Linked DNA regions of Schizosaccharomyces pombe. Changing the gene in region 1 together with any one later gene gives a genetic interaction. Each region holds a gene or a part of one and is shown in the gene's direction. Other genes may lie near its edges.

Region 1 (4,159 bases):
ATTTCTGTCAAGAGTATTGTGAGAAGACATATCAGATTCGACCGTCACGTAACCACGTTCAGTCTTGGAATTTATGTGAGAAAACCGAGATTCAGGGGCTTTAGTAGAAGGCTCTAGTTTTGAATTTGTACTATTACTATTAGATGGTATCGCCTCGCCAGCGATGCGATCCAATTCAGAAATGGGAGTTTTTGTCAAAAAAAGTTTTGCATAAGTAACTGTACGAGAACAAATATTAACAAACGTGTTCAAAAATGTCTTTTTACGTTTCCTTTGATACTCTTCATATGTAATACAATCATCCTGACGCGTCCTTTTTGACGCATTGCGTTTTCCTATCATTCACGAGTGAATTGTAAAGGGTGAATCGCGAGAGGCTGTGACACACAACAACCTGGAAGGATGAGCGCGTTCTTGCTTACGTTGTGAAAATACCTCGTTATACGAGTATTGCGGTATTTACTGTAAACAAACTACTTTTTGTGTTTATATTACAATGTTTGGCTTTCGAGCCGCTAGCTTTGCTTGTAAGATTTTAAATTATGTTGCTTAACATGTAAGTGTCCGTTTATCTTTAGGGCCTACTGTGTTTGATTTCATTACACTAAAATCCTACTTCAATGTGGGCTATCACTACTTTTAGCCGTGAGAAGCTTACAAGTATATTAATGTAAATTAAATATCATATTGCTTTTATAAAATATACATTCATGACAGTACACTGTGTTACTCTTTTAAGCGTTTAATAAGTAAGTGGTAGCGTATCGCTACTAGTAAATTGTTTTAAGTTCTGATATATGCCCTGAAAATGAAAAGATAAATCGGAAAATGTGAGTTAGTTTTATACAAACCATTTAACACTTCCTGAAGGGATCTTTGAATGAACAGAAAGCCCTATATTCAGGTTATCCTTCAAACAATCATTATTTCCTAGATAGAAAAGAGTCGTACATCAGCAATGAATTTCCTCAATTATCGCCGGGGTTTTTTATCATACTACGGCTCATATAACTATCAAAAATTAGCATTACCAGTTGCTCTTGATTCTTGTTTTTCTCGATTTTGAATTTTTTGTTATGCATTGTCTGTTAACTATGCGTGAAATATCTGTTCTTTTAGAGATTCGTTTGATTTTTAGTAAAATAGTATTTACTTGCTTTATTTCCCTTTCTTCTGCTGCTCAATAATCTGATATCTTGCTATATTGTTTTCGTTTGAATTCAGTCTCTCTTCTATATTTCGTATATGTATGTTGCGATCAATCGTGTGTTATGGTTTCAAAAATTCAAAAATTCAAAAAAAAAGCCTTCTGCTGTAAGAATAAACATATTTTAGGCTTTCGTAAGTGAATTTTAAGTTGAAAATACCAATTTCAAAATTAGGCTATTAAAGTCATTTTAGTTTTTACTATTGTAATCAAAATGGAACTTTTTTACAACAGATACTAGCTTTAGATGCTTGGCTATCAATTGTAGGCTTTTGATTTTAATTCTATGGAATGGAAACAAAAGTACATTTTTTGGCCTAAAATTAGATTTTTATATAATAAAATATTATTAATTTCATTGCTATAAAAAGTCACTTAGCAGTGTTTAAGCGAGTGCTTAAAAGATTTTATTTAGCTATCTAGATCTGACATTGCTGCACTGAACCAACCTGTCTACCATTTGGTAGATTCAACTTCCCATAACCAGCACCAAGCCAGAGGAACTCACTAAATGTAAGAGCATGACATCCCCGTGTACGCTAATACGGCAATTTTCTCCTTTGGAGATACGTCCGTTACCACATTTGGATTTCCAAGCTGGATTTAATGGGATACCAACTTCAGCTCCAAGGTTGGTTGGTATCGTCCAAGTTCGAAGTAAAGAAATTCACCAACCTTTGGCTTTGGTTCAAATAACGTTAGAATTATGGAAAATTGAATCAGTGGTAATACCATCCTTGGGTATAAGTAATCACTTATCAGATAATAAGTGTCTGGCAAGGCAGGTTTTGTTTCCACTTCATTCCGAGCATCCTGAAAATAACATACCTCCTAATGATAATAATTATTCTATCAGCGATTTGTCTATCAAATCACCTCCACCCTCCCTTACTAGCGATTGGATAGTAGATTCTTATGCGTCTGATCAGGATAATCCTTCTGTTCATACTCATAACCGTACTACTCCACCTATCCCTCCACCTCATCTTCCTAATGCCTCTGGATCTTCGGTATATCAACCTCCTTACACTCCGTTTAGATCAGTATCCACCACATCTTCCTCTAATGACACATCTATCACTCCTTTTGGTGACCAAACTCCTATACTCTCTTCTTCTTCAGATCCTTACGCTACTCATAGGGTATGGTCAATGGACCTTCCCTTTGAAATCCCGTTTCCCGAAAATTCAGAAATTCCATCGACTTTTGAATTGAATCGGTCTGGTACAATATGCTCCACGAAATATGAACTACGTGCTCACATGAGTTTACTAGGGGTACCGGATATTACTACCACTGTACCAGTGTCACTCAGCAGGTATGATAATCTATCTTCTTGGGGGATGTATAATTCCCCTACTAATATTCGGCAAGTGAGTAGCGATGGTCGTGTTGTAGTAGAGGTATCAATACCCAAACTGTGTATTGGACCTTCGGATCTCGTCTCCGTCTTCGTTTCCATCATGCCTAATAATGGTTCTAAAATACGAGTACAGCAACTTTCTCTTTCCTTGGTTGAATACATCACGTTCATACATCCCTCTTCTTCAAGCCCAATAGTTCGTAAAAAGAAAGTATTACGTTACGAAGAAGATTTGGATGATATGAAACTTACATCGGAAGGTTTATCGAAAAGCCTTTCTAAACCTTTCCCCGACATTGATTTTGAAGATGCAAATATCACTGGATTCACGACCACCTCTGATCTTTACTCTGTACAATACATGCTAGTCATCAAAGTACAATTATATCGTGCTAGAAACATTGAAATAACAAACCCAATTATTGTTTCCCCAGTGGAACGATCACGAAGTCAAGCCTTACTTAATGAAATTCAAACCCGAGTCCTTGACGTTCGCCAAAGCCACGGAGGCGTTGTCCTCGAAGAAAACGTTAGGATTGTGCGAGCTTCAGATTTTTCCAAAAATAATATGTTTGCTTATTTGAATGATGACATTGTCCTGTTATCTTAGGAAGTTACATTTTTCAAGCTCAATCTGTGCTTTACTACAAATGTAAATCCCGATATTGTTGATCATAAGCCTTACCTCTGTATTTCCCTGTGTTTTTCGATATTTGCAAGCCTTTGGTTTGCAATTAAATACCCACTTTGTTTATTTATTTGTCCCTCGTTTTTTTGTTTGGTTTCAAAAGCTATGAGTAAAAATAATGGTCTTCTTGTTTTTGTTTTGTTTTAAAAAGTATTCCTGTTCTTCGACATCAAATCAATTTCTATTGAATATGTCTTCATTGTTTTATTTATTCACTAGATTTAGCAAGTGGGACTTTTGGTCACTATTTGGTTGCTTTTTTGTACAACTGACTATTTATTTTAAATTGTGTCAACAGTTTAAATCTCACTTTATTCAGAGTAGGTTTTAGTTTAATAAAAACAGCTTTAAACCTGCTTATATAATGTACTACTTTCCTTTTTTATGTGGTTTGAATATCACATCGGCTGCACTTATGTCGGCGTTTCCACTTTCATGTATGTGGCTTTGAAAGTAAAGATGTAGTAAGCATTTAAATCTGAGTAAGGCTTAATATATATAACGATTGCATTTTGTTATCTAATAGCCCAGTATACGGTTACACTCTTAAATCAGTTACAATTTTATTAGATATTAAGCTCATTGTGAGTAAAATTTTTCCACACCTCTTCCTTAAGTTTGTATAATCCATTCTTATAGTAGTATAACCAGAAGTAAAAGTTTAAAATATTAGCAATTAAATTTCTTTTGAGGAATGAAAATACGAGATCATTATCAAAGCGTTTAATACCCACTTAACTTTCCATCCACAAAATATACGTTTCAATCCAGGTATTAATATCTATATATTATTGACTACTTTATCAGGAAAAAAGATCAAACATCTTTAATTTTTGAGATTTCAGAAGCTACTGTACCTTATGCTAAACAAATGTTCTGGCTCTTTAACACTTTTAGCTGT
Region 2 (6,821 bases), on another chromosome or scaffold:
AGTTTTATAAAATTATTGAAAGAAACAAACAGCTTTAGAATTCAAAACAGTTTACAAGGGAAAATATTATAGTGCTGAGCTATAAAACGCGTTGATGAAAGCGCTGAAAAAAAAAAAAAAAAGAAAGTTGATCATCAGGACATAAGCATTGGCTTCATATAATTCAATAATGTCACCAATATTGCCAACTTGATTGGCTAACGTACAAAATACATGCAAAATTAATCGTAAAGAGATGTAGAATTATGAGGGAAAGATTAAATCAACCACGAAAGAAACTTTTTTGTTTGCGCAAGCTATAATTTACAAAAATTGCTCGAACACAACCCGTAACAGTTTCCAAACCAGATCAAATGCGTGTATTTAGTATTATCGAATTGCCCGGTTCGAACACTTTAAGCACATTATACCAAGAAATGACCACCCACCCACATTTCAAACGATCAATCATCTTTCCATGAACCGGCAAAGAAATGTTGAACATACGCCATCGGATCATTTGGAGACTTGCTACCCATGTGACCGACACCAGGACTAAATGCAGTTATGGGTAGGATTAAAACATCTCCAACAAGATAAGGTTCTTCTAAATTGGTGATATTCTCAACCGAGAAAGGGCCATACTGCCAATTTAAATAATCCATAATGGCATCGGTCCAAATACCTGGACCAGTCCACTCCATTACTGACTCGCCATTTTTCGAAAGCTTCTTTGAATCATGCAGCTTCCAAGTTTCATCGGTAATTCTACGAACAAGTTCCCAAAGAATTGGATGGCCTGGTGCAGCAGCTATGGTCCACTGACAGAATTGTACACGCCTGGCATAGTAGTCGTTCCAATCAGGGCGGTCGGGATCTGCTTCAATGCCAACGATCAGTCGAATATTACGCTTACGATATTCACGAGGGATCCAATTGTTTATATGCTTCAATGGTGCCGTATCAATGTCGCTATAAATACCACCTTTTGCCAATAACACTAGATACCGAAAGAAATCGGCCTTCAGAACAGGCAGAGGCATCATTGCATACGCTTGTGAAATCTTGGAAACTGATGAATCGCCAAAGCTACTGATGACCAATGCTTTAGACTGCTCATCGTCTAAAACAGCATGAGAATAACTGGGATGGTTGATTCTCCAAAACCGAGTGTACTTCATAACCTCTCTATCAAAAGGGTCCTTGGAAGTTTGCCATATTAACTTGGGAATGTCAGCGTGATAAGGCACCTCAAATTCATAAGTATCTTTAGGAACGATCATGTGTACAGCTTCATTTTCTTCGTCAAAATCTTGAAGCTGTGAAAAGGAGTACCGTAGATGAAGTTTATAATTATTTTCTTCATCAAGTTCTTCCAAGCTGTGTTCCAGCTCTTCCCTCTCCAAATCGCTCAAGTAAGCTTCCAAATCTGGATCTTCTTCTTCTTCAATGTAAGACGGTTGATCATACAAAAGTTCCTCCTCCTCCTGTTGACCAACATAATCTTTATTAGCGGCTTCCGGAGTGTAATCCTCCAACATCGAAATCTCTGTCAAATCTTCCATTCCTTCTATGCTACCATGATTGAATAACAACAGTATGGATCCCGCTATCGCAGCTCCTATTACAATACTTCTCAATCGGAGTCTCAACATGCTGAACTCGTTATATGCTAATGCTCAATGTATCAATTAATTACTTAGTTCGTTAACAAAGACTCATTAATGTGTACTTAATGCAGCTAGGATACAGATTTTGCGGTTTTTCATAGAATCGCAGCAAAACACAGGTGGGCGCTCTGGCTGAGTTTGCGCAGATGCTCTTACTTTAACTTCGCACAAGCGACCCGAAAATCGAAGGGCTTTAATGTGATATTACTCTATAATAGCAACAGCCACACTTGATTGCGGTACCGTGCGTAATATCAGTCCAAGTATTGTCGGCTGTAGTTAACGGTGTGTGTTAGGTGTATGTACACAATAACAGAAAAAGGTTACCCAAAGCACCACCCATAATATAGAAGTGTAAGCAGCGATCCACTTCAAATCCGTTCTTTTGAGTATCCAAGCTGTTTGAATAATTGGAAAGCCGGAGAATTGGCATTAATATACGTACTCCGGCTTCTCGTGTATAATAAGAGGAATTTGGTGAAGTTTCCATGTTCAAATAAGACGACTTGTCTTGTAGAACCTTTTATTGTTGAAAGTAATTGGAGCGTTAAAAAAAAAGGTACTACTTGAATTTGAAAAATATCTTTCTTCTCTTTCTGTTGTTGTGTCGGTACGGACGATTGGTATCAGAAAAGCCCCTTTGCATAGCGCCGTTTTTCTAAAACTTGCGATACCTCGAGAGGGTAGTAAAATTAGAATCAACAAACAAGAAAATGCTTCGCAATGGAGCTCAGAATGGAAATATAAACTCTGAGTCTCATGAATCGTTTGGTAAAGCAGCTAAAGGATTTCGTATTTTTTCATCATTTAGCAGTAGCCAAAAACTGTTCCAAAGAAGGAGTTCTGGCTCTATCACACATTCTCCTACCGCTTTATCATCTACCACATCCCTTAATGAAAATGATGGCAATCATTTTCGTCCTGCATCGAGCCTTAGCTTTTCTCCCTCTTCGCTATCCAGAAAAGATTCGGGTCCTGGAGATGGCTTAGAAGTTAATAAAAAAAATAATTTTTATCGCCGTTCTTCCTCCACAGATGATTTTGGCATTTCTCATGCACGTAGTAGGAAAGAAATACAATCGCTCGGTAGACCCCATACTCGCCAGTCGTTTTCCGTCTCTGATGTATCTAATGGCAGTTCTTATCCTAACATTCGAAAAAATAGCGTCCATGTTAATGCACCCATGCCATCTTTTCCTGAAGGATCAACTGCCGTCTTACTTAAGCATCACTCAGGCTCCAAGTCTGCATCTGCGATTTCGAACATCGCCCCTTCGCATTCCAATTCTACCTCATCTCGTCGCCCTTATATACATCCGGCTTTTCTTTCTCAAGTCGCCGTTGAGTTCCGAAAGCGTCTTAACATCGGTGACCGTGTGAAGGATGGTCTTCTTTATAAAGATGCCTTTCTTGGATCGGAAGCTGTCGATGTATTGATGCATATAGTTCGGACGACTGACAGGAATTTGGCGTTACTTTTAGGAAGAGCCCTGGATTCGCAAAAGATGTTTCATGACGTTACTTACTCTCATAGACTTCGCGACTCGCTCAAGGAAGTTTACCAGTACCGACGTATCATTTCTCCTCCTCCTGGTCTCTCCTCGATGGATTCCAATGGATCGTCGATCGAAAATAACTTTCTCTACACAAAAAGAAGAGCGAACACGTCTGATTCATTTGACTCTGTTTTATCTGATTCTTCTACGACACCTACCATCTCCTCGTCTGTACAGGTAAATTCTTTAGCTTTCATCACCTCATCCCTAAGCGCAATTACTAAGGAGCCTGAAGCTCCTGAAACCGAATACAATCCTCATGGAGTGTTTACTCTTTTAACGGAATGCTACTCCTCTACATGTTCTCGTAATCGCCTTTGCTATTCTATATCTTGCCCACGTCGACTAGAGCAGCAGGCCCGTCTCCATTTGAAGGTCCAACCTGTATTAAGTGGGGGATCAACTTCGATTACAGATAAACAAGAGGAAGATCATCGTTTATGGTCGGAAAATGTTCCTAAGCAAGTTGTAGACCAGATCGATGTCCGTGAATGGAAAAGACAGGAAATCATTTTTGAGGTTATTTACACAGAACGGGACTTCGTCAGAGACCTAGAGTATATACGTGACTTTTGGATTAAGCCTCTTTCAACCTCAAATGTAATACCAGAAAACAACCGACAACAATTTATACGTTGCGTTTTTCATAATATCATGCAAATCCATGCTGTCAATTCTCGTTTGTCAAATGCTCTAAACCGTACTCAAACTCTGCAACCTGTAGTTAACACAATTGGTGATCTTTTCTTAGATTATGTTCCTAAATTTGAGCCTTTTATAAAATATGGTGCCAATCAGGCTATTGCCAAGTTTGAATTTGAGCGTGAAAAAAGTACGAATAGGAATTTTGCGAATTATGTTCATGAAGTGGAAAGATTACGAGAGTCTAGAAAACTAGAACTTAATGGTTATTTGACCAAGCCTACGACTCGCCTTGCGAGGTATCCGCTACTATTAAGTGGAGTTCTTAAGTACACTGATAAAGATAATCCTGATACGGAAAACATTCCTCGTGTAATCGAAATGATTCGTGAATTTCTTACTAAGCTTAACTATGAAACAGGGAAGACTGAAAATAGACTCTCGTTGTTACAGTTAAACGAACAGCTTTCCTGCAGCCCTGCGGATCGAGCAAAATTAACATTGTTTGATCCATCTCGCTTATTGATTTTCAAAGGCGTCGTCAAGCTAAAAGCCAGTAGTTATTCGAATGGGGACACTGAAAACGACATTCACATGTTTTTACTGGACAATTTTCTCTTGTTGTGTAAGATAAAGATTCAAATGAAAAGAAGAGTTCATAAACTGCATCTCAGGCCATTACCTTTAGAATTGTTGTCGATTTCTTACATCGAAGACTCGCCATCGAGAGGTAGCCTTCCGCGTCGACCATCTTCTGCTTTGTTAACTAATCCAATTTCAATTACAAAAAGTAATCCACCTCCTGTTAAAGCATACGGTTTGCAGTTAGTATTTATTGGAGCCCGTGGTTTTTCTATAAGTCTTTATCTCAATACACTGATTGCTAGAGACCAATGGAAACAACACATTGAGAAACAGCAAGATATCATTCGAAAGCGTCATTTGGTATTTGAAAGTCGAGGCATATGTTGTCAGTCCTGGTTTACCGGCAACAAGTTATTATGTGCCGTTGCCTATGGTAAGTATAATAAACAATATGTTAAAGAAGTAAATGTTTGTTAACAGCTCTTTAGATGCGGGCCGTAAATTACTATTTGGAACTTACAAGGGACTATATATCTCTTCTCGAAAAAGTAATAATGGCAGTTGTCTTGAACCCATTTTCAAGCTGCAATTACCAAATATCTCTCAACTAGATGTAATTGAGGAACATAACGTTCTATTGCTTTTAGCCGAGAAGATTTTGTACGAGTTACCTCTGGACGCTCTTGATTCAGTAGAACAAATTAATTCAAAGTCTTTGCGACGTGTAACAGGTCATGTTAGTTTCGTCAAAACAGGTTTTTGTATGCAAAGAATTTTAGTCTGTGCGGTAAAGTCCACCGTTTTAAATACTACATTGAGGATTTATGAGGCTGATCGTGCCTTGAAGAACAAAAAGACCCAGTCTCTAAAAAAGCCTTTTGGCAATCAAGCAACTTTGAAAATATTTACTGTGAGTTACCTCGTCGTTCTTTCTCTATACTAACATTTTTTTAGGAGGTACAAATGCCGATGGAAGCTTTGTCCGTTCACTTTCTCAAGACAAAGCTTTGTGTGGGAAGTTTTAAGGGATTCGATATTATAAGTTTGGAAAATGCCGTATTCCAATCTTTGTTAAATCCTGCTGATACTTCATTTAGATTTTTAGAAAAGAGGGAAGATATTCGACCGATTGCCATGTTTCGCTTAAGAGGAGAATTTCTCCTCTGTTATTCAGATTTTGCATTCTTTGTTAATACGAATGGCTGGAAATCTAGGCAATCCTGGATGATTAATTGGGAGGGCCAACCTCAAGGTTGCGCTTTGTGTTATCCATATATCCTGGCATTTGAGCCGGACTTCATTGAAATTAGGAATGCCGAAACAGCCGAACTCGTTCAAATCATAATGGGACAAAACATTAAACTTTTAACTGATGGCCGAGGGTTAATTAGTGAAGGAGGTGAAATACTTTACAGCACTGAGCCAATTCCATTTTCATCTGGAGAAAATCCTATAGTTCATTCTTTAATACTTCCTCCAGCAAATGCAGCAGGTCCTGCACTTTAGATCGTTTATGACAGTACTGTCAACATTTGTGCGAACTTCTCCTTGAGCATTTTGGAATACTATTTACTACTCCGGACATCTTTTGCATGCCACATCAATTGATTATAATATATGCTATTACAATCTAAGCTTCAAGAATCTATGACCCTGCTTCATCTCTTTAAGGAATAACTTTAAAAATTCCTACGTACATATATTTACTATGGTTGAGATAATGCTATTGACGATTGTGTGTTTTATTAAACGAATTGTGTCTTTTTCAATTTGCTCAACATTGCACGCTGTTTTTGTTACGAATCATTCTTTTTCCATAGATTTATTATGCATTTCTTTAGTCAACTAATAAACAACCTCTCTGCATTCAGCATATTCATTCATTATCTTTTATTGTGATTGTTTAAAATACTCATGTGTAATCGATAACTTTTCATACTATTGAAGATAACATGAACAGTGTTACAATAATAAAAAATGCTTTTATATGCATTCCAAACTCCTTAACATTTTTTATGTTTTAGCATTCACCAAATATTACCACGTAAAATACACTTTTTCGCAACGAGTTGCTTATCTGTATTAAACAGCATTAACGCAGGCTTCGATAGAGTGTGCAGGAGTTTATCGCCACGTTCAGTAGGGTTTTTCTTGCTACATCATTTTTTAGAAGACATCTAAAATCTTAAAAGTAAAGTGTGTACATAAATGTTTTTATAATTTTTTTAAATAGATTTTTCAGTAAAAGTCTGTGTATTTAAAGTACTAAAATAATCAGGAATTATTACAATTTTTCAGGTGTGTGACTGTGTGTTAGAGAAAATATTTATTACAACCCTTCAACTTTTTTTCCACAACCCACTCACCTAGCTAAGCAAGATTGCTAAAA
Region 3 (6,123 bases), 1.1 Mb from region 1:
GATAAAATGACTACGTTTACTATGAACAAGTTTGCCGACCTCTCCGTTTTAGAAGAAGATGATGATGATGAGGACGAAGATGAAGAGCTAGAAGGAGAGAAAGAAGAGGAGGAAGAGGAGAAAGAAAAACCTGAAATATCAAATTACGATGAGACAGAGGGTAAAGTAAATTTTTCACTTGAAGATTCGGAATCTTTAGAATTTGATGAGGGATCAGATGACTATGATTATGCTAAGTTAACGACGGAACTTGTGGGAAATACAGATTCATTAGCCGAAGATGAAGATGATATTTTGGAAGAAGATGAAGATGAAGATGAAGAAGAGCTTTTGGCAATTTTTGATGCTAGTGATGATTCCGAGATTGAGGCATACCTTAGTATTGGAGATACTTTGCAAAATGATTTTACTATTTATGATTATGACAGTGAGGATGAAGAGTACAATAACCCCTCAACTCAAAAAACGGAAAAAGTTTCTCAAAGCAAAAAAGGGGCGAAGGTAAAAGAAGAAAAAGGTTTGAAAAAAGATCGCAAACTTCCTAAAAAAATGCGTAAAGCTCAAAAGAAATTAGAGAGAAAGGCAGGAAAGGCTGTGGCCGCTAGAATGGGAGATGCCTTTTCCAATTCTTTGGACGATGAGAGCATGAACTTGTACGCTGAATTGCAAGAACAATGGCTTAAAGATAAAAGCAAAAAGGCAAGAAGACGAGCGGAAAGGGAGAAACTCCGCTCTGAGGGGCTACTTGGAAAGAAAAGCAAAAAGAAACTTTTGCGCGAAAGCCAGAAGCCGTCTTCTTCCGATTCTGACAATGCTAGTCTTACACGAATTGATAAGATATTTATAAATGATGTTTATCAACGGATGCAACAGTTTAAGCACTCGGCCATTGAAGAAATTTCCCTTCCTCCATGCAGAAAATATGTTCGTCGATTGGTTCATGCGCTTGCCAACGATTTGAACTTGAAGTCGAGAAGTTATGGATCTGGAAACAAGCGGTATACTATGCTTTCCAAAACTCATAAATTTGATGCATCTAGTGTGGATTTGGTTTCACTTACCAGGATTATGGAGCGTTTACAGACCAGGGTTGAGTATCAGTCATTTTCCAAATCTGGTAGGAAATCTCGAATGACTGTTTCCTCTGTGAGGTCGAGTAAAGCCACACGTGTATATGATGGCCAAATTGTTGGAGAAGATGCCCCTGAAATTAGCAAAGAAAATCCAGGTCGTCGGTTGCTCGAAAAGTTAGGATGGTATGCAGGTAAAGGACTTGGTCATCCCGAAAATGAAGGTTCCAAAGATAGTTTACGTGCTATTGTTAAAGTTAGCAGAAGTGGTTTAGGTTAGAAAACCAGGGTGACTGGTCAAACCGAGAAACTAATCAGCTGTGTCTTATTTACTTGAGATAATACTCCAATTTATATATATATATATATAAATATATACTATTCTAGGTTAAGCATCATATTCAAATTAGCGATTTGTACATATTGATGTGAAGTAAAAAATTAACCGTGGGTACTTCGACATGGTGTCTTTCCATTCAAGAGATAAACCGGAAATCCAGAAAGATAACTATCTTTTATTTTAAGATATAAACTTCATTTAAATAGACAGAATAATTATTCTCACTACAGGAGCAATTGAATATGTAAGTTGCTGCTATGGGCATACTGCAGCTAAAGAAGTTCTACAAAACGGTGATATCGCAGTGTACAGAGTTATTATTGCTATTTAAAGAAGATAATCGTAAAATCAGTTAGCGTTTAATATATAACACGTGTAATACAGTATAAGGAGTTATGTAAAGTAACGTTTAGGTCATTTTAACAGGCAATATCGGTCAATAGTGATACCCAACATCGCACTATTCGCAGTTTCAACCAAGTATCAATCGGAGCCTTTTTCATTCGTTAAATAGTATAAGGCAAAAATACCGTTTCGGTAAGGGTCAATAGTGTTCGCCTAGGTTCGACTGACTTCAGCCTTTATGGGGCCCGTCGGAGCTAACTTTTCCACTTAACAACTAATCGAATTCTTAAGTGTTTTTTGACGACAATCTGTCAAACACTGTATCCTTATTAAGGAACTAGTGTATTGTTTAAAGTAAAGGAGTTTTCAAGCCTGGGAAGCTCGAAGAAACGATTCAAACGGAAGCTCTGTGGATAGCCAAGTTCGGTACGGGTTTGTACTTTCGTCCCCGAGTATTTTGTTGAACTTCAGGAATTCGCGTTCTTTTTTAATTCTGAATTAATCTTTACTCTTTACTTTTTATTCGTTCTTTTTTTAAATTCTGTTTTTAATTTCGGAACAAACGAAGTTGGATATTGAGTACTTTTCACCAACTGCTCGGTCTTAATAATTCTTGATTTTGCGTTGCTGAGCCTTTATCCTTTATTGTTTTCTTTTTCATGTTGATAAAGAAGTGATTTTGCAACAATTATTTTCTTCATTGGCATTTGAATTTTTACGCTCTTTATTTTATTTACCCAATCTTTCTTTTCTTTCATTCGGTTTGCGCCTTTTGATAATATTTCTCTTAACTGGTCCAATAATTTGTTTTCTCTTTAGTCTATAGACAAAACAACTTAATTTACTGAGGGCAAAATTTTTATTACCAAATTTAAGTTTTAATTTTCATTCCTATTATACTTACGCACGATTTAATTTCCATGGTCTTTTTAAATTCCTCTCCCTTTAAGGGGAGGTTACTATTTTTTGTTTACCTTTTGATAATTTCTACTCGGTTGGTGGCGGCTGACATGAACACTCAATATGGCTGTTATCTCGTGGATAGTAGCTTAACTGAACAAGGCACGTTTACCTATCTTGATCCAGCGTATTGCTATAACAACATTTGTGGTGGATCTGATAATATAGCATTTGTAGCTATCCGTAATAATCAATGTTATTGCGGTAGTACACTTACTGCTACAGAAGTTTCAAGTTCTCTTTGCACAACGCCTTGTCCAGGTTATGGTTCTCTTATGTGTGGTGGTGATCTGTACTGGTCGGTTTATCTGACTGGCAATGGGGTTTTGCAAACCACGGTTTCTAGCTCGTCAGTGTCGTCTACGACCTCTTCGTCTTCATCATCATCTCCAAGCTCATCTTCAACTACAACAACAACATCTCCTTCTTCTTCTTCTTCTTCTTCGTCTTCGTCGTCTTCCTCTTCTTCTTCGTCTTCTTCTTCTTCTTCTTCCTCATCTTCCTCTTCCTCTTCCTCTTCCTCTTCGTCTTCGTCTTCTTCGTCTTCTTCCAGCTCTTCGTCTTCTAGTTCTTCCTCTTCCGTACCAATAACGTCTTCCACCAGTTCTTCTCATTCTTCTTCATCTTCAAGCTCATCTTCCTCTTCATCTTCTAGTCGGCCATCTTCGTCTTCGTCGTTTATCACGACCATGTCCTCATCTACTTTTATTTCTACTGTCACAGTAACACCAAGCAGTTCCTCTTCTTCAACCAGTAGTGAAGTTCCAAGCAGTACGGCTGCCCTCGCTCTAAATGCAAGCAAGGCGTCAAACCATACGTCCTTGAATGCAGGTGCTATTGTGGGTATTGTTATCGGTTGTGTGGCATTCGCCGTGGTAATGGCATTGTGCATTTTCCTATACTTCTATTTCAGGAGATTCAAAATTAGAATGAGCGACTCGGCAAATGAAGGAAAATATCCCTCCTATGCTAGTGAATTAGATTCTCGCTTGGATCCTGCCATGATGAATCGCAAATCAAGTGAATCTTTGGCTGACAGTCAGGATTATTCGAGAAAGATATTGCGTGTCACAAATTTGAACTAAAACAACATTTTTCTTTTTTACTTTATTTAAATTCAACCAAAAAATTATTTCTTCTTTATGGTGTTTATGACTTTCATAATCGTATGCTACAAATCTTTTGCATATGATCGGAAAAGTGATCATTTTGGTAACGATAAAAAGTTCTTTATGGTCGGTTCTCTGTTGGCATAATCTTATTTATTTATTTTCCCTTATTTTATTCGTTCTTTACTTTTTCTTCTTCTCTTTATCTTTCTTTCGGGAAACTGGATTTGTTTTCAATATGTGTTAAACCGTTGCAGTGTTAGTGACAAATCAGTTTCATATTTTTTTCTTATTCATTTTCGCTTTATCTTTATTTTCTATAACCGTCAATTATGAATTGATGAAATTGGGACTTGGGAAAGAAAGCAAAGTTGGCTTGATTTATCGGCTAAACCTTGATTTTTTTTTTAAATTTAATAAGATAATTTGGAAAGGCTAAACTCCTATGCAATAGTTGTTTTGGCAAAACTGGTTTTATTTCTTTCTTTATTTTTTTCCTTTTCTTTTCTCGTTGTCTTACTTCTTTTTGTTGTTATCTAATTGGTTGTTTTTGTGTCTTTGACGCTATTGTCTAGTAGCGATCTTTTGTACATTTGTCTACCCTTTCTCAATATGATGAACACGCTAAGTTTTCTCTTTTCTTTATTTTCCTGGTCGATTGGTGTTTGATCTTCACAAAACCACTTTTCACCTGGTCTACATCTTAATTTGTTTAGATCTTGGCGCTACCTAATTTGTGCACGTTATGGTTTTTTTCTTTTTACTTTATTTTTATTTACTTCTCCTTTCTTTATCTTCTTTTTTTATCCTTTCTCTTGTTCTTTTTTTGTTTTTGTTGTCCCTTTTTCATGCTATTTAGTGGACAGGTGTATATGTATTGGATATCTATGTATCGTATATATATACCGTTTGCTTACCTGTTATATACACGTGTGCTTGGTGTGTCAGGTTCATTTATGCAATGTATGGATAAATTAAATGATGGTTCTTTTTTGTATAATATTGTGTAACACCAACTTGATCTTAGCACGGGAGATACTTGCGGTTATTATTTTCCTTTATAAGTTTCAACAAGTCAAGTACGTCTTTGGTTTTTCTAGTTTCCTATTTCTTTTACTCTTCCAAAACCATTAGGGAGAAGGGAACAGGAAATAAGGAAACAAGAGGAAAAAAATTGACAGAGAAAGAGAAAAGTTTAACGGACGACTATTAACCAACAAGTTATAAGCATAAAGTATCCAAAGTCGTATGCAAGCGTAATTTGCACTTCAAATGTCAGTCTCAGTGTCAATTATGCAAATGCGTGCCATCTCACCATTCATTCATTGTGTTGTGATACGCTGTGGTTTATATGCAGCTCCCCCCTTTATTCCCTCCTTTCTTTTGATTTACTATTCATCAATGGCCCATTGAGGACCTTAACTTGAAGACGAAGCTAAGAAAACAAGGATAAAACGAAAAGAAAAGGCTGCTGTTAAAAGTCCTGTTTTTTTATAGAAGAATTTGGGTTGTTACCGAATCATTAAAAATGTTCCTTTTCTTTTCTTGACAGTTAGATCGTCTCATGATATTGTTGTTGTACTTTTTAGTTAAATTCCACTTAATTATTTAAACATATAATCCAAATTCAATCCATCCCATTTTTTATTTATACGTTCACAATCACTTAACGCTTTGATTTGAAAGTGGTTTAGTGTAAATCGTTGCACCACCTAATCATTGTTTACTACATTCTTGTTAGAATTTGAATAAAATTTTTTCCGTCTTTTCGCAAGCGTAAATAAACAGGGATTCGCAGCTGCGTCATTTATTGACGAATTTCCCTATTGTGTGACGTGTAGTAGTTCAGCCTTCCCCCCACACGTATTTACACCCACATATATATAAAAAGAGAGAGATTTCCACTTCTCTGTACACTTACCTACTGCCTTTATCCTTAGATCTTAAGTAGGCAGCATTATAACTCATTGCGGAACAGCTTTGTAGTAGCTTTTCATAAATCCAATTCCTTTAATTATTCATAAGACCAATTTTTGGTTAATTTTCTTGTTCGCTAAGAACTACCTTAATTGTGGACCCCGTTGAATCAACCTTCTTTTTATATTGATCAACGAACGAGCAATTCGATTAGGACTAGCATATCCTTGGTTTTCTTGCGTGTTCAATTACTAAAAACCCTGTTTTCTGTTTGTTAATATATATTTTTTTACTCTCCCTCTCTTAGGTATACAGGATGGCCCAGACGTTTCAGGAGAAACAACAGAGTCGAAGGATTAAAATGAGCACTGGAAACTTTTTT

What was found. Genes that interact genetically often act in the same process or in processes that back each other up.
Region 2: of art1 (region 1) and rgf2, extra expression of one rescues a mutant of the other (dosage rescue), as found in Schizosaccharomyces pombe (one study listed by BioGRID).
Region 3: of art1 (region 1) and wsc1, extra expression of one rescues a mutant of the other (dosage rescue), as found in Schizosaccharomyces pombe (one study listed by BioGRID).

What each region holds. Positions count from the first base shown.
Region 1 is NC_003423.3:2,363,300-2,367,458, reverse strand, and holds art1 (arrestin-related substrate adaptor for RhoGEF, Art1), read left to right. Parts: upstream 1-1,645; 5' UTR 1,646-1,728; coding exon 1,729-3,180; 3' UTR 3,181-3,644; downstream 3,645-4,159. Other genes in the region: SUMO deconjugating enzyme Ulp1, read right to left, coding at 1-342; PPR repeat-containing protein Ppr3, read left to right, coding at 4,119-4,159.
Region 2 is NC_003424.3:5,078,743-5,085,563, forward strand, and holds rgf2 (RhoGEF for Rho1 Rgf2), read left to right. Parts: upstream 1-1,975; 5' UTR 1,976-2,362; coding exon 2,363-4,865; exon of another isoform or gene 4,866-4,867; intron 4,868-4,920; coding exon 4,921-5,342; intron 5,343-5,386; coding exon 5,387-5,938; 3' UTR 5,939-6,313; downstream 6,314-6,821. Other genes in the region: Golgi alpha-1,6-mannosyltransferase Och1, read right to left, coding at 444-1,634; translation initiation factor eIF4A Tif1, read left to right, coding at 6,821-6,821. UniProt on the Schizosaccharomyces pombe protein: Stimulates the exchange of Rho1 and Rho5 GDP-bound form into GTP-bound form. Controls septum formation, cell wall synthesis and localization of F-actin patches.
Region 3 is NC_003423.3:1,297,168-1,303,290, reverse strand, and holds wsc1 (transmembrane receptor Wsc1), read left to right. Parts: upstream 1-2,011; 5' UTR 2,012-2,675; coding exon 2,676-3,800; 3' UTR 3,801-5,615; downstream 5,616-6,123. Other genes in the region: sqs1 (G-patch and R3H domain-containing protein), read left to right, coding at 1-1,350; SPOM_SPBC30B4.09 (uncharacterized protein), read left to right, coding at 6,058-6,123; SPOM_SPBC3D6.16 (uncharacterized protein), read right to left, coding at 6,031-6,123.